Linked DNA regions of Neurospora crassa OR74A. The protein of the gene in region 1 binds, or shares a complex with, the protein of each later gene. Links are inferred from orthologs where the notes say so. Each region holds a gene or a part of one and is shown in the gene's direction. Other genes may lie near its edges.

The links.
Region 2: the proteins of NCU00352 (region 1) and NCU01165 are in contact, whole or in part, in a cryo-EM structure (PDB 6PSY), measured with the Saccharomyces cerevisiae proteins. The link is inferred for Neurospora crassa OR74A from reciprocal best matches to the Saccharomyces cerevisiae genes DRS2 and CDC50. Residues at the interface, in NP_009376.2 of Saccharomyces cerevisiae: His241, Val242, Ser243, Pro244, Met469, Lys475, His476, Leu477, Ser478, Tyr479, Leu480, Tyr481, Leu482, Asp494, Thr497, Tyr520, Phe523, Met524, Ser527, Asp528, Leu529, Tyr532, Glu534, Asp537, Pro539, His1000, Trp1003, Tyr1029, Ala1032, Asn1033; in NP_010018.1 of Saccharomyces cerevisiae: Lys21, Lys22, Pro23, Pro24, Asn25, Phe28, Arg29, Gln30, Gln31, Leu33, Lys34, Ala35, Trp36, Gln37, Pro38, Ile39, Leu40, Ser41, Pro42, Val45, Leu46, Leu48, Leu49, Val52, Phe56, Leu63, Phe138, Tyr140, Lys142, Asn145.

What each region holds. Positions count from the first base shown.
Region 1 is NC_026503.1:3,543,960-3,554,163, forward strand, and holds NCU00352 (phospholipid-transporting ATPase), read left to right. Parts: upstream 1-317; 5' UTR 318-1,106; coding exon 1,107-4,343; intron 4,344-4,398; coding exon 4,399-5,066; intron 5,067-5,154; coding exon 5,155-5,332; 3' UTR 5,333-5,961; downstream 5,962-10,204. Other genes in the region: NCU00353 (hypothetical protein), read left to right, coding at 6,467-6,585, 6,814-6,980, 7,266-7,292, 7,448-7,582, 7,845-7,930. UniProt on the Saccharomyces cerevisiae protein: Catalytic component of a P4-ATPase flippase complex which catalyzes the hydrolysis of ATP coupled to the transport of phosphatidylserine and small amounts of ethanolamine from the lumen to the cytosolic leaflet of the trans-Golgi network and ensures the maintenance of asymmetric distribution of phospholipids.
Region 2 is NC_026505.1:3,096,637-3,107,621, reverse strand, and holds NCU01165 (LEM3/CDC50 family protein), read left to right. Parts: upstream 1-4,000; 5' UTR 4,001-4,345; coding exon 4,346-4,567; intron 4,568-4,656; coding exon 4,657-5,673; 3' UTR 5,674-6,182; downstream 6,183-10,985. Other genes in the region: mcb (camp-dependent protein kinase regulatory chain, variant), read right to left, coding at 1-565, 633-1,100; NCU01164 (transcription elongation complex subunit), read right to left, coding at 6,540-7,648, 7,701-9,306, 9,378-9,499, 9,556-9,640, 9,740-9,916.

The sequences.
Region 1 (10,204 bases):
CTTAGTCATGAGCTTAGCGTCCTCGCTTCCAGCCTCAAACACACCTTGGAGCATCTTGATTGGGTGTGCCGCATTCGAAACATCTTTATTCATAGCAACTGGCAATCCACACATGGATGCTCTGCCTAACAACGGTGACCCGCTAACAGGAGCGCTGTGACGTGCCTTGGCGGCTTGGTCCCCTGGGAAGGCGATTGTGGTGTTAGTGGTGGGTGAGTGTCCCAGTCTTTGTAGCCGGTACCTCTACCTATGGATGGTAGTGTACATTACGATTACGTGCAGCTTTTCAAGCCCATCACTCAGGCAATCCCTTCCATCCCTGACATCCCCTGAATTCCAGAAGAAATAAAGTCTGCATCTTCAAACATCCAAAACATGGAACCTGCCCTTTCCTGAGGTCGCCAGACTTGGGTACCGATCGTTGGACTCTTTCTCAACATCCCGTCAGGGGGTGCATCCCAACTCATTGACAGGGCACTCTTCAAGCAAACCGTATTGGCGCGTACCAGGAACCGTAGGTATCGAACCGGGCCCATTGGTACCTACCTCTATTCTAGATTGGTGTCTTGTATCATTGGTCTTCCTGTACCGGGGGGCACCAGTTCGTTAATTCCACACGCGAATCCTGCGCTGAGCAGCCTTGAAAGGAGGCTGTGCTGCATCTTCACTTGACTTCCCATGACACGGCGGCGGCACCTACTGCGCTAGTATCCAGCCCACCATCCACTATCTCTCCGTACAATTCCCAACTCCAATTCAGCTTCCCCAAGTTCCACCTCACGCATTCGTCTCGTCGCAAAAAGAAACGTTCCTGCGGTCAACATACCTTACCTAGACTCATACGCTACCCAGCACTCGACCACATCCATCAAAGCCGCATTACACACGCGCTACCTACTCCGGCCTGGAATCAACAAGTGCCCGCCGTATCCGGATTCCTCCCCCTCGTCCACATTGAGTCCTCAGATGCTCCTATTCCCGCTATAGGCACGACTCTCCGCCCTTGTCTTCGAATCCCTCGCTTGTCTCCGCGACACCACCATCTCACCTTGGTCTGACGGACTGTCCTACCGACAGCGTCCATTTTCCGGCTCCCGGTCTCCGGCATGGCGGCTGGCCGCCCCCCTCCTGGGGCCCCGTCGAGCGCTCAACACGACGATCTGCTGCTCGACTTCGGCAACGAACAACCATATTATGGCGGGGGACAAAGGTCGACTTTAAACGACGACGATCTCTTGCGACTACACAGCGATGATGCGCAAGGCGCCGCGCAACCTCGCCCGTCCGTATCCTACGATGACTTCGTCGGCTCCGGGCAAACAACACAACCAACAGCTACAAGACCTATACAGCCCGCGCCAGGCGCGACAGGCGGCGGAGGCCCAATAAGTCCATACCCTGATAGCAGGTCCCTGGACCGGCATTTCAGCCAAACGTCGGATCTCGGAAACTATCAACGCTATGCCGAGGACTCTGACGACTACCCTGACGAGAGTACCACGTCCTACTACCAACATGGCGGAGCTATCCCCCCGGACTCGGCGGCTGCCCGCGACAGCGCGCGCGCACGGAATAGCGTCCTGAGCATGGGTGGCGGTTTGATCGGTCGTGCCAAGAACATGCTTGGAATGGGCCCTGAGGGATACTCGGAGATGGACCTCCCCTTGACGGATCCGCGAGCGACCGCACGGGTAGACCACTCTCACGAGCCTCCTCCTCCCCAGAAGCCAGCCAAGAAGTTTGATTTCAAGTTTGGGTTTGGGGGCGGAAAGCCGGATCCAGCAACCCTTGGGCCCCGTATCATCCATCTCAACAACCCTCCCGCCAACAGCCTGAACAAGTATGTCGACAACCACGTCTCGACCGCCAAGTACAATTTTGCGACTTTTTTGCCCAAGTTCCTCTTCGAGCAGTTCTCCAAATTCGCCAACATCTTCTTCTTATTTACCGCCGGTCTACAGCAGATTCCCGGCCTGTCTCCTACAAACAGATATACTACAATTGGTCCTCTAGCTGTTGTGCTCTTGGTTTCGGCGGGTAAAGAGATGGTCGAAGATTATCGGAGAAAACAGGCAGATAAGGCGCTCAATATGTCCAAGGCCCGGATCCTGAGGGGTTCGACATTCGAGGAAACGAAATGGATCAACGTCTCGGTTGGAGACATCATTCGAGTCGAATCTGAGGAGTCCTTCCCCGCCGATCTTGTTCTCTTGGCGAGTTCCGAGCCCGAGGGTCTTTGCTATATCGAAACCGCCAATCTCGACGGAGAGACCAACCTCAAGATCAAGCAAGCTCTGCCAGAAACGTCATCTATGGTTAGCTCCAGCGAGTTGAGTCGTCTGGGAGGCAGGATTCGCTCCGAGCAGCCCAACAGCAGTCTTTACACTTACGAAGCGACCTTGACCATGCAGGCTGGAGGTGGGGAGAAGGAGCTTCCTCTAAACCCCGAGCAGTTGCTTCTCCGTGGTGCTACTCTGCGCAACACCCCTTGGGTCCACGGTGTCGTTGTCTTCACTGGCCACGAGACCAAGCTGATGCGCAACGCCACGGCCGCGCCGATTAAGCGCACCAAGGTCGAGAGGCAGCTGAACACGCTCGTACTCTTCCTCGTCGGTATCCTTTTGATCTTCAGCGTGGTCTCTACTGTCGGTGATCTCATCCAACGAAAGGTGGAGGGCGAGGAAGGTCTCGCTTATCTCTTCTTGGATCCTATGAACGGTGCCTCGGCTGTTGCTCGCATCTTCATCAAGGACATGGTCACATACTGGGTTTTGTTTTCCGCTCTCGTTCCCATTTCGCTCTTCGTCACCATTGAAATGGTCAAGTATTGGCACGGCATTCTCATTAACGACGACCTTGATATGTATTACGACGTTAACGACACCCCTGCCAATTGCCGAACTTCCAGTCTGGTTGAGGAATTGGGCATGGTTGAGTTCGTCTTCTCAGACAAGACTGGTACCTTGACCTGCAACATGATGGAATATAGGCAATGCTCGATCGCTGGAATCATGTACGCCGACAAGGTGCCCGAGGATAGAATCCCGAGTGGTGAGGACGGAGAGGATGGAATCCACGACTTCAAGCAACTGCAGAAGAATCTCGAGAGCCACCAATCTGCGCAGGTCATTGACCAATTTCTCACCCTTCTCGCCATCTGCCATACTGTTATTCCGGAACAGGCTGAAGACGGAAGCATCAAGTACCAAGCCGCGTCACCAGATGAGGGAGCGCTTGTCGATGGTGCGGTACAGATGGGCTACAGGTTCGTCGCTCGCAAGCCGCGCGCTGTTATCATCGAAGCCAACGGCCAGCAGCTTGAGTACGAGCTCTTGGCAGTCTGCGAGTTCAACTCAACCAGAAAGAGAATGTCCACGATTTATCGTTGCCCTGACGGCAAGGTTCGTTGCTACTGCAAGGGTGCAGACACCGTCATCCTGGAAAGGCTCAATGACCAGAACCCCCACGTCGACGCCACCCTGCGACATCTTGAGGAATATGCTTCTGAGGGACTACGCACGCTCTGCTTGGCCATGAGGGAAATCCCGGAGCACGAATTCCAGGAGTGGATGAAGGTTTACGAGACGGCGCAGACGACCATTGGTGGTAATCGTGCAGATGAGCTGGACAAGGCTGCCGAACTCATCGAGCACGACTTCTACCTTCTTGGTGCCACCGCTATCGAGGATCGCTTGCAGGACGGTGTGCCCGAGACCATTCACACCCTCCAGGAAGCTGGCATCAAGGTTTGGGTCTTGACCGGTGACAGACAAGAGACCGCCATCAACATTGGCATGAGTTGCAAGTTGCTTAGTGAGGACATGATGCTGCTCATTGTCAACGAAGAGAGTGCGGAAGCTACGCGGGATAATCTTCAGAAGAAGCTCGATGCCATCCGCAACCAGGGCGATGCCACCATTGAGATGGAGACCCTGGCTCTCGTTATTGACGGCAAATCGCTAACGTACGCTCTGGAGAAGGACATGGAGAAGCTCTTCCTTGATCTTGCCATCATGTGCAAGGCCGTTATCTGCTGCCGTGTTTCCCCTCTGCAAAAGGCCCTGGTCGTCAAGTTGGTCAAGAAGTATCAAAAGGAGTCGATTCTCCTCGCTATTGGCGACGGAGCCAACGATGTCTCTATGATTCAGGCTGCCCATATTGGTGTCGGTATCAGCGGTATGGAAGGTCTACAAGCTGCGCGCAGTGCCGATGTGTCTATTGCCCAGTTCCGTTACCTCCGCAAGTTGCTTCTCGTCCATGGCGCCTGGAGCTACCATCGTGTGTCGAAGACCATTTTGTTCTCTTTCTATAAGAACATTTGCCTTTATCTGACACAGTTTTGGGTATGTGTTCCATGCAGGTAACCATTTCTGATTCAAAAACACTGACCTGAAACAGTACACTTTCCAAAACGTCTTTTCCGGTGAAGTCATCTACGAATCCTGGACTCTCTCTTTCTACAACGTCTTTTTTACGGTCCTTCCGCCGCTCGCCCTTGGTATCCTCGATCAGTTCGTCTCTGCCCGCCTGCTCGACCGCTACCCGCAGCTCTACAACCTCGGCCAGCGCAACACCTTCTTCAAGATCCGTGTCTTCGGCGAATGGATCATCAACGCCGTCTACCACTCCATCATTCTCTATGTAGGCGGCTGTCTCTTCTGGCTCAACGACGGGCCTCAAGGTGACGGTTTCCCTGGCGGAAAGTGGGTCTGGGGTACAGCCATGTATGGTGCCGTCCTACTTACCGTCCTCGGCAAAGCCGCGCTGGTGACCAACAACTGGACCAAGTACCACGTCATCGCCATCCCCGGTTCCATGGCTTTCTGGATCTTATTCGTGGCAGTCTATGGCGAGGTGGCGCCCAAGCTGAACATCAGTGTTGAGTACTTTGGCGTCATCCCCAGGCTGTTCACGAGCCCGATCTTCTGGATCCAGATGCCTACGCTGGCAATCCTCTGTTTGCTCAGAGATTTTGCGTGGAAGTTTAGCAAGCGGTTGTGGAGACCGGAGGCGTATCATCACGTGCAGGAGATTCAGAAGTATAACATTCAGGATTATAGGCCTCGGTATGTTTTTGCCATGATTCGTCGTCCCCCCCTCCTCTCCTTACTTTTTTACCCTGCCTCTATTCGATTGCTAACGCAAGGACAACAGCATGGAACAATTCCAAAAAGCCATCCGCAAAGTCCGTCAGGTCCAGCGCATGCGCAAGCAACGCGGTTATGCCTTTTCGCAGGCCGACGAGTCGCAGACCCGCGTGCTCCAGGCCTACGACACAACACAGCATCGTGGTCGGTATGGCGAGATGGCCAGTTCAAGACCGAATCAATAAAAAAACAAAACAAAGCAGAAATAACAAAACCAGCGAATGGGGTTGCGCTTAATGTATTGGGGTGGGAGGGACATGAATCAAAGTGTGTATGGACGGAGATGTGATGAATAGGTGACTGATGGACTGATTGATGGTGATGGATGGATTTAAGATGAAAAAAAAACGGAAGGAAGAGACATCTTCTTTGCGTATCATGAGGGGGGCACGCAGACAGACTAGGCAGGCAAGCAGGCATGAAAGGGAGGTATACGACAACTTATTTTTAATCGTTTTCTTATTCTTCGCTCCATCTATGCTTGCGCTTTCCTCTACTGACATGTTCTTGTGTATGTGATGTGGGGAAAGAAAGGCGTAGTAGGTTCATTGATTTCTGGTGACGAGTTTTCAACCCTCAACGTGGCTTCATAATCCTCTGTTTTCAACAGTTAAAGCACATACGACCATACCCACTGGAAAACTCGGGATCCCGTCCGCTCTCCCATAGATAAGCCAGTGAGGGCCAGACTAGTAGTTGGGTCGGTGACGACCAGCGAATCCCTGGTGTTGTATGTTTTTGATCCTGTCTTTGTTTTTGATTTTTTATTCTTTTTAGCCCATTTCATTGGCCCATCCTTCCTTCTTCTCTCATGTGCGTATAATTTAGAGGTAAATTAGGTTGAAGTTGGATTCTAACTGGAACTTTTTGATTTTGCCTAGCTAGGTGAAATGGCCGCATTTGCGGTAGATGAGACGGTGACGGATACATGTATTTCGTGGGTATTGTCTTGTCGTTTGGTACTAGGTAAGTCAAAGGGGTAGCGCGAGCGCTGAAATCTAAGTACTTGTATGCAAGGAATGATGATGTTTGACACATATAATATTGACGGCGAGTATTACTGCTTATTATATCTTCTCGTGCTCTTGGCATGAGAGTTTGGTACAATGTTCCAGCACAGGATGAAAACAACATGTCTGCCTTCCTACCTCCCTTAACTCCAAGTGGACTTGATATCTCGGAGTTGGAAACAATTCAAAGGCGTTGTATGTCTTATAGTTATCTTGATATCCCGAGGTATTGAAGAAAATGAGGTAAAAATGTAAACCCCTTCCATTCAATAAATGCCTGTACGTCAGGCTAGGCTAACATGATATACAATGTCCATCAGCGATACCATCGGTAGGAGTACCCGGTGGGATCGGATGATGTACTCGGGGAGTAGCAGCGTATTGCTTCTTGACAGGTTGCTTACCGGTGGTTACTTGCGTCTTTTGAGGTGAGAAGGGTAGCGAGATGACTCTCCCGGTAAGGGTATATTAGGGGGGTTGTTATCGTGGTTCATAGAGGCTGCAAAGGTACTTCTGTCCCCGAGATCTCACTCACCGTGTCGACAGCCAGGCAGGCGCTCATGTGTTTATGAGATGTTTACCTTCCTCTTCCTTGTCTTCAGTCATTGACCAGATCACATGCCAGGACGACATGATCGGTTCTGAACCTGTAATAGTGAGAGCAATGCGACCCTTTCACGAAGCATGAAGGACATGGGAACTGTTCAGAAGCTTCTATGCACCTCTCCCACTTTACACAGTAGTGTAAATGTTGCCTGTGTTTTGCCATCCGAACTCCGAGCACATGCCAGCGTTTGGCTCTCAAGCTACCAGGAGGAACCAAGTAGTTCTCAACCAGGTGTCCATTAGCTTTCGCCAGCCGGACATACTGCGTACATACCTTGATGGCGAAGAAGACCGAGATCCCAAAGCCAGTTTCCATCGTCAAGTCGTCCGAGATGATCGTCGATCGAGGAATAACTTCCAGGAACATCGGCAGTTCATATCCACGAGCCGCTTAGTAATGTGATGGATCCGGTCTGGCTGACTCTTCATACACAGTAGAGAGTCCCGTGAAGTCGCGCGATTTTCGTGCGTCTCTGTCTCCGTAGGATGAATCACAAAACAGATTCCGATATGTCCGAGCATGATGCAGGTATGCAGACAGGCGGTGGCGTGGGTGACCTGGTTCGATGTCTTCTCTTCAGGATATGGAAATCGCAAGAGTTCTCCAACTTCCATGGCCCGGAAAATAGTACCAAAAAAGATGGGGAAGAATCCACCGGAAAACTTGCTCGCGGCCTCACACAGTGCCCGTTCATCTTGTCGCCGCCCAGCCAAGCGAGCCAGCCAACCAGCCCGGCACCATGTCCGACGACCGGCCGATCCCCGGCATTCCAGAACCGAGCCCAGCTACCGGGCCCCGTTTGGTGGCTGGGGCGATGGGTGGGTACACGTGCAAGATGCGGCATTTGCCTTGTCCGCGTTTTCTCTGGCTGGGTCTTTTTTTTTCTTTGGCCGACATTCACGAAATCATCCACGTTCTCACGTGTTTTGCGCAGCTTCGGGAGTTAAAGATTCCGGATCCATCAAGAGTGCTGGGATGAGCCAAGTCTCATGCGGATGTTTCCGCTGGATTGCCACGGGCCGATGCCGGCGATGGTCGCCAAACATGTCAAGCTAAAGAAAAAAAACAAAAGAAAAACAGAAAGTTGGAAAGTTCCACAAGAAGCACGCAATACCGACGCGTTTTCACGTGGGGACTTCACAAGATGGGAAGCTTGGCGGATGTGATGTCTGAAAAAATCTTGGAGAGAAGCATGGCGCTTTGGTGAACTTTTTGGAAGGCATGAGATATGGATCTTAGAAGGGACGAATGAGATGAGGCGGAAATAGGGTTACGTACAGGATGAGCCTGGCTCTAGTGTAACTGTCGGGGACTTTGAGTGAACAAGTGAGACTGTCTCTTGACTTCAGAATAGGATTCAGAGCTCCAAGATTCCAGTTTGATATTGGTTCGAATTCGGCTTTGATACTCCACTGAAAAGTTCAGAGGAAGTCTGACAACGATATTGTTGAACCTCCTCGAGATTTTGCATTTTTTTTCTTCTTCCTTCCCCCAGGCTGACCGACATGAACCTGATGATTGGCAAAAGTATGTACCTACCTTCCTCTCTGGAGCATTTCGGCCGATGCTTCAGTTCGGCTCCAGACAAGGGAACTAAAAATAGAAAAAGGTTGGTTGATGTCGAGGCGAGGGGACGTGACGGTGTATCAGAAGCTACCCTAGCAACCCTGCAATGTCATTAGGTGATAAAATCGGTAGTGTAGTGTAGTTAACCCCAACCCGTATGCGTTGCCCCCCCCCCCCCCCCACCCTTCGCCAACCCCAAGACATGGGGAGATGAACGACAAGCGATGTCGCCTTTCGCCCGAGTAAAGTTTGCCTCTGTATCTCACGGGGCATAACAAGTGTACAAAACCTATCTATTAGAGACTCATCACTGCACGCCAAGAAGCCTAGACAACCAGGACGCGTATACTGGAAGCCAAGCCCGATCATCAATCCCTTTAATGGTGAACATATACAACCGGAGGTAGAGGGTGGGGGACGCTAAGATGGACACATTTTTACCGTTAAAGGGATGGATGACCCTCGACGTTGGGCTTGCGGATCCCCTAGAAACTTACACTACAACCTATTATAACGCATGTTGGATGAGAACAGGACAAACTAATGCGCAACGGAACTCCCCGAGTCATGGCAGAGACGAATTATTCAATTTCGACAGTGCTGGCTGCGAAAGAAAGTCTCGGCGATGTTTGCCAGTCTAGTGGCTCAAGACTATCCAGCTGGTGCAGCAATAGTATTCCGGCGTGCAGTCTGTAGTGTGGGAAACGTACGGGTAGTTGCTGATGTTTGACTTCAGAACTCCCTTTGGTATCTTGTGTCGTTCCTTTTTCAGTCAGCCCGGCGGTAATGTATGTGTAGACGGATGCATAACGGATGCCTAACCGGGGCTCTGGCTGGGGAGGAACAGCTCATGGCTATTAGGTAGGTCTATTCAACATCTGATGGCATTCCTCGAGTGAACGACCACAGTGACAATCAAAGGTTGCAGCAGTGAGTAACCGTCTGGTCTATTTTTACCGTTTCTTTTCATCACTGATGGGATTTGATGCGCAAACAGGCCCATGGGTGAAGGTTTGTTAACCGCCCACGATACCATCACGCACATCTGCGGACTGCGACCCTGCCTCTAGTGTACTGTGATAATCCATCACAGAGGCCTTGGCGGGATGACTGGGATTAACGTACTGATGGCAAAGTGCAAAAAAGGACGAGAATACAAAATTGAGATGGTTTGCGAAGCATGACACGCAATTGAACATTCTTTATCAAATACCAAGATCCAGGTCGGGAAGGTTACCATGACGATCGGATATAGAAGCATCTGGATCAGACCTGATCAAACGCTGATAGTGACTCGCAAATGGCTTCACTACGCCGTAACGTTAGCATGCTTTAATAAGATGAGCTATAGAATCCAGGGCATGGGGCAGCAGGCGAGCCAGCTCTCACACTGGTGAGCCATGGTTCAATATGATCGCTGAGCCTCAACCGAGTCGGGTTAATTTGCCGGCATGCAGAAGTCTCAGATCGGGAACAAGTCTCAGTCAGCAATGACATGACCATACGTGTAAAAGCTCAGAAGTCCCTGCGTTGACGGTCTTTCGGTTATTGTCTCAAAGTACACTACTCCCCACCTTGGCGATCTTCAACGGGAACAGCATCAATGTCAACATGGCAGACGTCCTGTTGATGGACTCAAGAGAGCATTTTCCTTGAAAAAGAACGAAAAAACTCCCGTCATCTTCGCGGTGTGTAAAAGTGCTACGATGAACGGAGACCCGGCAATCGTACGGTCCACCGCTGCAGGTACGGCACCTTCAAGGGCACCACCAATCCGACCATCACCACCATCAGATGTCCCATCACCGCCGCCACCACGCCTGCCAATGGGAGGTTTCCGATTTGAGTGTACTTCGAGGGTAACCGAGCCCCCA
Region 2 (10,985 bases), on another chromosome or scaffold:
TTTGGCTGATGACGCTGGCCGCGCGAGGGGCATCATTCAGCAGCGCAAGCTCACCGAAGAAATCACCCTTCTTGTAGTTCTTAACTGGAGAATCGTTTCCTCGCTTGAACGCTGCCGCCTCGCCAGCCTCTAACAGGAAGAAGGAGTGGCCGGGGTCACCCTCAAGAATGATCTCATGGCCAGCCGGGTACTTCTGGCTTTCGAGAGCATCCGCAATCTTGGACCGCTCATATGGCGTGAGGGTCTTGAGGATGGGCACTTCTTCGAGAAAGCTCTCGTACATCCGACGACGAGAAAAGGTCGATTCCATGAGAATTCGTCGGAAGGTGACACGATCAAGCGCCCATAGTGTGCACTGGGGCTCAGCAGAGACAACAGTAGCAGCACGGGGTGCGTTGTACATGAGGGCAAGCTCGCCAAAAGAGCCACCCTCCGCTATCTCGCCAACCTTCTGTCCCATGCCGTCTGGGCCGGGTTGAAGAGCGCCGGTGCTGTTGACATAAACCTCGAATCTTCCCTTCTCTACCACATAGAAATAATCACCGGCATCGCCTTGAGTGATCACCTGCCAAAAAGCGTTAGAAAAACCGTGTTTCTCAAAACAGAGAGTTGCAGTGGCTTCAGGTACTAACCTTGATTCCTTTGGCAGGCACCGGCTTCTCTACCAAAGCACCCAATACTTGGGCACTCTGGTCGTCCTCAAGGTGGTTGAAAAGAAAGTTGCCGCTGATGGCTTTCTTCAAACGCTCAAGTTGCTCTGCTGTCTTTGGATGAACAGGAGGTGACCAGTTGTCGGAGTTATCCGTGACTGGTTTCAGGGATTCTGCCGAAACGGAGGTCCGGCGACCCAAGTTGTAGTGAGCAGGGAAGTCATCAGGTTGGCGCCGGACGGGCATGTCTGACGGAGCATCGCCACCAAAGCCGTTCCAGAAAGCGGGCGCAGCGTTGTTCTTGACGCCGAAATGGGGAGTTGTAGGCGAAGTAATAGTATCATTCTCGTCTTCCTCAACCAGCCTATGCATTGGCCCAGACTCAGATCTGCCTGAACTGCCAAACGGGTTTGCGTTCCCAAAAGGGCTGGTGAAACCTGTGCTCGACATTGTGGTGACGTTGATCCCAACAGATGAATCTTGTGAGGTGTGTCGAGCTGAATTGAGAGCTGTTGCCTTATATCAGACAAATGTTCGAATCAGATATGCAGATGCTTGTAGCTTGGACCGAACACTACCTACTGAAACTGAGAAAAAGGATCCAGAAGTGTTTTGTCCCCGAACTTTATTTTATAATTCGCGAGCAAAGGTCGGATGGAGATCGAAAGGTCGCAAGGGACCAGAGCGTCTGTAATTTAACACGGGGCGTCGGAAGGTAGATCTTTGGCGCCTGGAAGCACTTTACAAAATTAGCACCTGATTACCGAAAGAACAAGCATGGATGATCACCCGCATAGATCTTGACATCGGATCAGAGTGGAATTGCCGAACGGGAAATTGCGAAATTGGCAGAATGGCATGACGCAGAGAAGAGATCGGTCTTGGGATGACAGTAATCCACACTCCATGTGATCTGTTTGACTACGAATCTATGCGACCTAGCGCACGGGTACAAGATGTTCGATTGCACAACGATGTTGATCGAGCAAACAAGGTGAGACATGGCTGAAGAGATTTAGGGAACTTACCTAGGGATCACCAGATGTAGGATAGGTGGTATGGAGAGGTTGAGGTCGCAAGCAATCTCGCGGACAACAGTCTTGCGGTGGTTGCGAACGCCGGAGATGGATGGATAGGTTTCAGAGGATCGCGGGCGGGATGATGAAGGACGAGCGGGATTGCGGAATGGGCGATGGCAAGGGAGCAAAGGCTGGGATGCTTTGACCAGCTCGTAGCCCGAGATGCTTTATACGTGGCTGCCCGGGAAAGCAGAGCAGACAAGGCTGTAATGTGGACAGGGAATAAAGGCTAAGACGGTTCGGCAAACACCGCAGCACGAGGGTAGGTTTCTTCGTTGCGACCGAATTCTGGTGTCGCGAGAGCAATTGCGGTTGCGATTGCGATCTCACTTGCAGAGGAGTTGCCTTGTAGCGACGCAAGAAAGAAGCAAGGCAGCTGTGGCGAGGCGTGTTGACCGAACGAAGCAGGCGGCGGGGAGCTGTGTGGGTGGAGGTGGAAATGATGGAAGGGGGAATGGCAATAACAACAGAGGACTGGAGAGCTGAGCACGACACGGCAAATGAGACAAGGGAGTCTTCGGTTATTACTGTCTTTGTTAAAAGGGCGAGAGTAGAAGCGCCGGAAACACAGAGAGCAGGAAAGCTGGCATGAGGGGAGTGATGTGGAGGAGGTGAAGCTCTAGGTTTTGGCGGGCAGGTGGGGTGGGTGATGCCGTTTGCGCTCGTTATCTGGGTTCTGGGTCGTGAACTCAAGGTGCTGGACGGTCGACCGTTGCCGTACTGGCGTGCAGGGTTCTCTGCGATGTCCCTTTCCGGCCATTGCCTCAGCTTGGCCGTTAAGGTAAGTACCTAGGACCGTGTCACAGACGGGAAGGCTTACAGAAGGCTTACAGAAGCCTTCCAGAACCACCTCATGGAATTGACTCTGGATTTAGCAGCCGGCGCTGAATCTTCAACTCCTCATCTTTTCACGCGTTGATGTTCGTCAGCCATCATTCGACAAACATCTTTCGAAGCCACGTCAGTGATTGACTATCAACAGGGTCGAGACAACTGGAACAATGAAGGCAATGCCCTCCTCCGTTCCCTGCTGGGGGCAAGACCCACCTCTCTTGTGCTCCTTGTTGCTTCTCCACAAGTTCCGTCAAGCACGATCACAGACTCAAATCTGTCGAATCCTTCTAGAAAACACAAGCACGAGCCTTCATGCGACTGCCCCCCTTCTTCTTCCTTGCTTCTTTTGGTGTCCCTGCGTGCCCTGTCCAATTGCCTATCTTGCGTGTGCCAGCTCTCTTTCTCTGGTGCCAGCTTGCCCGCATTGCCTGCCATTCAGATGTTCTGTCGCCGGGGTTACACATGTGGTCTAGAGTCTGGTTGGCTGTAACCTCAATACCTCATTGACCCATCCGCCCCCGTCGGGTGTCTGACGTGTGAGTCTGATGCTGTCCTTCTTCTTCGGCTTCTCTTGCAGATCTCGGCAGCCATTTCGTAACGTTTGCGAGCCAAACTCGACTAGAGAAGCCAGAAACAGCTTCTTTTTTTGCGGGTGGCAACCATCCCCGAAGACTTGGCGTTATTCATCAGTTTTACGCAGTACCTCATTGATGATCTCGATGCTGTTCGGCAGCCGTTTTTGTCTCAATGCTTCGTTCTACACATGCACAAGGCTTCACGCACACGACGGCGAAGAAGTCTTTTGTGTCGTGGTGCTGAAAGTTGCTTGTGTAGGGTTCTAACGGTTTGCCTGTCAATCTTGCACGAACAATTGTTACTATCACCTGCGCGTGAACGCTGCTGGTTGCGTATGTAGTGTCCGGTTGACTGGTCCCCGACCCCATCAGATCAAGTGGAGCGGATGAGACCTAGAACAGGATGTTGCAATCAAGATACTGATATGCAAAAGGCCGAGATACCACCCGGGCGCCGAACGGTAAACACAAGACACACAGCTGATATATCACTCTTGTACCAGATAGTGAGACGGATCTGAAGTCGCAGAACAGAAACGTTGTGCAAAAAGGTGAAACGAAGCGCGAGAGGTTGGTGGCACATATAGAGATTGGCAGCTCACTCTGTGCCCGATTCTGGAGGTTGTTGTGTTCTAAAGAAGCACCTCTTTGAATGACTGTTGACGTGCATTCGCGGGGCAGCGGAGAATGGCCCGTGCGTGTGCTGCCCTCAGCGGTTCCCTCAGTTGAGCGGCCTGGACAAGCTCTCGCTCACGTGAGACATCTCGTGAGAGTGCTCAGATGATGATATCCGAGTGTGAAGTCGGACGTCGGACAACCAAGCCCTGAAATGGAAACTCACAGCCTCCCTGCCAAGAGGAAGGCACGGACCATTTTGAATTGTTGCAACGCCCCAGAAGGCCGAAGGGTCCGGGTCCGCGTTCCACTGCCCACTCAGGTCTCGAGCCATTGCAGCGATGGAGTGCAGCAGTGGACTTGCCCGTCCGTCCTGTCCTTGTAGCGCCCGACTCAAACTGTTCGTTGACAATTCCATTGCCCACCTTTAGACTCTGTCCCTGTTGCGTGTGTTCCTGGCGCCGCCGTTCCATCAACTTTGCAAAACGGCTTGAATTCCACTTGCATCATCGCAAGCGCCCGCCCTTCTCCTGGTCTTCGAATCTTTCCGACCTTTTAGCGACGACAATAGTCGCTGGAATAATCCGATAACATGGCACCTCGCCGTCGCCGTGGCGGCCGCGATGGCTCCCAGGACGGCAACTCATCAGAGACAGATGCTCCCAAGAACCGTCCACCCAACACTGCTTTCCGCCAGCAACGAATGCGCGCCTGGCAATGCGTGCTCACGCCCAAACTTATCGTCTCCATTTTTACTGTCCTCGCCGCCATCTATCTTGGCTTTGGCGCCTACTTGACATATCTCGCCTTCACTGTACTTTCCCCCGGTTCTTTTCTGTGCCCCCTGTCACTTGCTGCAAAAAGTGTCCGACCAGCCGCTGACCATGCCACCCATCTTTTTAGGTTCGAGATATCAGTATCGACTACACAGATTGTCTGAGAGATGCGCCCAGAGGAAATGACACAAGGAAACCAATTCCACCCGATAACATCAAGTCGCACTTCACCTCAAAAGCCCTGGCCGACCATCCGAACCTAGACCCCAAGAAGATGTCGACATGGCATGTTGAGGAGAAAAACGTAACCTTCGAATGGAGCGGCATCACGGCTCCAAGAAACATTTGCGTTATCTCATTCCCTATTCCCGAGGAACTCCCGGCACCCGTCAGCTTCTACTACCATCTCGACAACTTCTACCAGAACCATCGTCGCTACGTTAACTCGTTCAACGCCAAGCAACTTCTGGGCGATGCCGTATCCAAGGATGTTATCGACGGCTCGACCTGCAAGCCCCTGGATCTCGACCCTCGAGGAAGCGGAAAGGTCATTTACCCGTGCGGCGTGGTGGCCAATTCCATGTTCAACGACACCTTCTCCAACCCCTACAACGAGCAAAACTCTACCGACTACGTCATGTCCAACAAGGCCGGTGACATCAGCTGGGAGGGATTGAAGGACCTATACGGCGAGACGAAGTACTCGCGGGCCGATATCGTGCCCCCACCCAACTGGGAGGCAGCCTGGCCCAACGGCTACACAAACGACACCAAGCTTCCCGACCTCAAGAACTGGGCCGACTTCCAGAACTGGATGATGCTCGCTGCCTCGCCCGACTTTTACAAGCTGGTGCGCAAGAACGAGCGCGACGCCATGAAGGCGGGCAACTACCGGATTGAGATTGTCGACAACTTCAACACCACCGTTTACAACGGACACAAGTCCATCGTGCTCACCACCATCACCGCCATGGGCGCCCGCAACATCTGGCCAGGGATAATATTCCTCATTGTCGGCGGCATCTGCCTTATTCTTGACATCTACTTTGTCTTGTCTTTCTTCATATGGAAGCCTCGTAAGCTGGGCGACCCGTCGTACCTGTCGTGGAATCAGCCTTCGGCCGCTCAGGCTGGATCGACGTGAAACGAGCAACCAGAACTCGAACCAAGTAAGACAAAACACACAAAGAACGAAGATATAATTTAGACCCTAATTACGCCGTGAGATGGATGGATGGCTGGATGGATGTGATGAAACTTCTTACCCTGCGGGATGAGGCTAGGACGGGGGCTGGCTGGCTGGTCGAAACATGAATTGGGATAGAAGAGGCGGAAAGGGTAAGGAGAAGCAGACAACTTGAAGGAGACAGAGAGAGAGAGAGAGAGAGAGAGAGAGGGCGGGATTCCTGATCCAACACGGAACCGCTCTTTGTGAGCTTTGCCTGTTGTTGTTTCCAAAAACTTCGCTGGGTTTTGAAGTTCAGCACGCGCTTACACAAGTCTTTTTGGGATATCAATAACTGAACGGCGTCTTGGGTTTGGTATAGTTTCCGTTTCACTACTTAGTACAGATGCATTTCATGGGATGTAGGTCTCATTATTTACTCACAATTTTTTTAAAAAAGAAAACCACAAGCTCATTTTCATTTCCTGTGACAACTTCAATTAAAGTACGGTATCACTCACCATGCCAGATTGTGTAAAACAAGTAGTTTACTACTACCTACCATGTTCATACAACTACAGTACCAAACAATATATCCCATTTGCACGCCAGACAAATTTGCCCATTGGAAGAGAGAAAAAAAGACCGCGCAAAATCAAATCCACGCCGACATAGGAAAGAGGAAAAAAAGGGAAAGTCTGAAAAAAAGCCAAACTTGTACACAGGCCCGATTTTGAAACCCTTTTCCCAAGATATGCAAACTCACAAGGAAAATAAATGTCAACCGATTAACCTTGTCATATCGCGAGAAGAGCTCAAGCGAACGAAGACCGGGTCTAATCAGTCTACTTTCTCCGCTTCTTGGGTGCCGCACGTTCCTCCTCGTCGTCGAAGCCGCTCTCCCTGTCACGCTTCTTAGCCTTCCTCTCCAGCTCATCCCAATCCTCGCCCTCCTCCTCCTCGCTGTCTTCCGCCTCATCGCTGGCCTCCTCCGAGGCGTTGGAGTCGTATTCGGAATCCTCTTCGCTAGACTCGGAAGCGTCCTCCAATTCGCTCTCGTCAATTTCGAAGGCGCTCTCCTCTTCCTCCTCCTCCACTTCGTCGTCGTCGCTGTCGTTCTGCAGGAAGCCCCAGCCACCATCCAAGAAAAATTGGTGGGTATTGGCAGTGACCGTTTTCATGATGACACCCCAGTTGAGGTTGAGAGGACCCTCTGAGAAGGCAATGTCAGACGAGTCAAGGAACTCCTTGACGTCTTCCAAAGACTCGACAGGAATGGTGTTGATGTGGTATGGTGGCCTCGTGAAGTCCTTGAAGACAAACACCAGATCAAAGTTTTTGAGACCAAACTGAACACGTTCCAGATGTGCGACTTCAATGTCCTCAAGGGTGATAACCATGAATGGAGGTTCGGTGATCTGGATGAGACACTCCGTGGTGGGCTGGATGTACACGTTACTGCGGAACGGTACACCGTTGAAACCAAGGTCGCGGAGTGGCATGTCCACCTCAATGCCTTCGTTGCGGCCCGCCTCGGCAATCTTTTCCGCGAACGACTTGAACAGGCGATCCAGCTCTGCGCGGCGCCGGCGTTCCTCCTGTTCAGCCTCGAACTCATCCTCATCACCATAACGATACTTGCGCTTCCGATTGCCGGTCTCGTCGAACTGGATGTCGGTGGCTTCCCTGTAGAATTGGACATCCTTCGTCTTCTTCTTGTTTCCAATGATAATGGGATCCTTGAGGTGGATGTGGATGATCACAATCAACTCGTGCTGACATGGTTGGAAGAAAAGGTGGCGAACGTTGGAAAAGAGGATATCCACGCGTTGCGTTGTGCTGAGAGGTGACTGGTAGCGAATACCGTTCTGGTGAATTTCCACCTTACCAGGCACACGCTTGCCCTCCATGGCCGGCCGGATGAAGACATTATCCAATACGGCGGGCCGACGGTCTGATAGTTAATTAGTATGTTGCAATACAATTGATCCGGGAAAGCGACTTACTTCTGATTTCAACGAGCTTGTCCTGCTCAACTACGTCCTCCATATCCTTCTTCTCCTGCTCCTTCTTGACAGCGTCTCGTTTGAGGTTCGAGATTTGGTTTGCAATGTCAGCATACCTATCGCCATCGGTTGATTTGAAAGTCAAGCTCCTGACGAAGTGCGCAGATGCATCTTCGAAGGGCTGCTCATCCTTCCGACCCACACCCTGGCCAGGAGATAGGAAGTTGATTCTCAAGAATGACCACTCGCCCTCGTCACTCTTGCTTGCGTTCTTGATGGTGTTGATATGGAAGGGTACCGGCCTGCCCATAACAGGCAGTACTATGGTCGCGTTCTTTTGATCAATAACGATGCCCATATCCTTAACCTTGGGCGGGAATTGATTATCCCGCTTGTAAGATTCGAAGCGCTTGAACTTTTTGATTTCGACGCCATTCTCATCAGCGGTAGATTCGGCGTATTTGGCCAAGCCTTCCTTCTGTTTCTTCTGCGCGAGTTCCTTCTGATGCTCGCGACGTCTCTTGTCCGCGTCCTCATCTACCGTTGTATTACGCTCAGAGCGTAGACGAGTGCTAGTGATGTTCTTGGTTGCAACGGCACCCACCCTAGAGTCCCGCTTCTCCTTTTTCGGTGTGGGCTGTGCTTCTTCCTCATCTTTGAAGAAGAACGAGGTGGCATCAACATCGACAGGCGCCTCGCCAGTAAACACCACCGGCTCGGAGCTAGTGACACGGATCGTATCGGAAAGGATCAAGGAATAGACCTTGCTGTTCTTGTCTTGGGGGTTGGGGTTCTGGATATCACTGAAGCCGGTGGTCACAACCAGTGTCATGCCATCCTTAAGGGTACGGGTGTTCTTGTTGTTGAGAATCAAGGTCGGGTCCTTGTTCTCCAGGCCGATTCCAAAGCCGACGTTCTTAAGAAAGTGCTTCTCAAGATCGGGCTTTTTGGACCGCACAAAGTTGTAGGCCTTGGTGTAAACATCCTTGACAATGGCACCATCCCGGATCTCCTTGAGAATGAGGTTGTGGACAGCAAGTAGGAACTTGTAGTTGCTTTCTTGGGACTTGTTGGGATCGACCATGAAAGTTCTGGCGATTTGGGAGCAATAGGACTTGTATCTGAGACCCATAGCCGCGATGATAATTCCCGGGTGGAGTATATCATTGTCAGAATCAGCCTGCCACTTCAGGTCAAATTTGCCACCACTTTGGACGATCGGTCCCAGAATCCAGTCCAGCTGCTCGGGATCGAGGTCAGCCGGGAGCTTCTGTCGGTTGGGCAGCTCGACGGTCTTCCAAAACTTATCGTCTTCCAGTTTGTTGAAGACCTTATCGGCTAGTGCGCTGTGCTTGATCTTCTTATCTTGGTCGAGGATATTGGACATTTCGTCGAGGAAGTAAGGGGTCAGGAGGGCGACGCAAGCCTTGGACGAGGTCCGCATGGCACGAAGCTCGGTCTCATCCTTGACGGAGAAGGCGCCAGCAGACAGAGCCTGGGCAACGTCAACCTCCTCCACATCCTTGCAGTTATCGGCATAGACCTTCTTCCATTCGTCGATAAAGGGGCCCTTGGAGGTGTCCTTGGTAAGGACGCCAACCTTCTTCTATAACGAGCGAAAATGTGTTAGAACCGCACCGAGATGTTGATGTGCGCCCAGGATGGGATGTAACTTACGCCCGCAGCCTTGATGGCATCCGTAATTTTGATGAAAAGCTTCTCGTTCTCGGCGGCGTCCTTCCCCCGCACGAGGACCTCAACGGGGTATCTGCCGCCCTTCACTTGGTCGAGGTACTTGGCTATTAACGTGTCAGATAGTTTGTCCGCGTTCTTGGGTCGGGAATACCGGGCGAACCTTTCTTTTGGGTGGTGAGAATGTAGATGGTGTCGAGGGTAAACAGCATGAGGGTCGTCGGGAACTCGTAACCTAGCAGCCAGAACTTTACGTAGAGCTATCAGCAGCTGTCATTTGACTGGAATGGCCCGCCAGACGTACAGCCAGCGCACGCCGAGCGGGCTCTCCAGAGGGCAAAACTCACATGGATAGCGTTGTTCTTGTGAAACTCGGGGTTCTCGTCGACCTTGCCCATCAGGATGACGATGGAAGAGACGCCACCGAAGAGAGCGTCTCCGGAGCGCTTGTCGGCCTTCCAGGCATTGTAGAAGTGCGAGACGCGCTCCTGGAAGACCTTGCTGTCGATTTTGATGTCTGCCATGATGAGCGACGGCACAGCGGCGCGCGATTGAAGATGGCAGAAACAATCAAATCAGCAGAGGTTTGGGTTTGGGTGAAGTCGTGCTTTTGGCGAGGGGCTGCTTGCTCTGGTACTGACGGTGGCGGCAGACACCCTTCAAGATGACAGAAACAAGGCTACCACACCTCTCCAGCCGGCACTGCTAGTACTTTACAGTGCTTGCCAGCCGGGATCCGGTTCCAGGCCAAAGACACAAAAATTCCCGTGTCGCGCGTCGCTCACGTCACGGGCCACAGCTCTTGGCGCCCCTGTCCACTGCCTTCGCGTTAGGATGCCTAAGAGGTTCTGTTCTGTGCCTGAGGCAACTATATATGCTGGTTGCCACGGCAATGGTGATATTCCTGAAAGGTCTGTAGTATGGGAATCGTAGAGAAGTATATTGATGAATGATGGAAATAGACGAGCGTAAATGGTGTCGTCGGGACTTCCAACAACTTGCGATTCTGTTAACTTTGTAAGTCGAACTTGTACCTCTTTCTTTAGGTGCCCTGCAGCGAGTGCATGGAGATGAAAGAGGGACAGGCGGGACAGGGCGTGGAATGGAAACAGAGGGACGGGAGGGGTGGAGCTAAGTTTCCAATGCACAGGTACGATTAAACTAAGTCTTGGCAAGCGATGGAAGCTCTGGGGTGCCGAACTTCTTCCATTTAAATACTAGTAGACGTACTAACCAGAACTCACCTTTCTTTACTTCGACGCAAAGAACGTCCTCAGCAGCGATCAACCTAGAGCTGATACCCATGTCAACCTGAATGAATAAATGAACGAGTGATGGCAATCACTGTGCGAAACGACAGCAACACTATCTTCAAGAATAGACTCGACGGGCCCAGACACCGCGTACAAGTGCAAAGAGCAATGTCCAAGATGCCGCTCGGAAAACCTGTGATGTTTCACATCTATACTTGATAGATCGGCATTCTGGAAGATACCGCCATGAGATGGAAAAATTGGCTAACATCTGCCCGACGGGAAACTTTACTGAATGGTGGAAGACGACGAACTGTGCCCATCGAACCAATCACTTGTC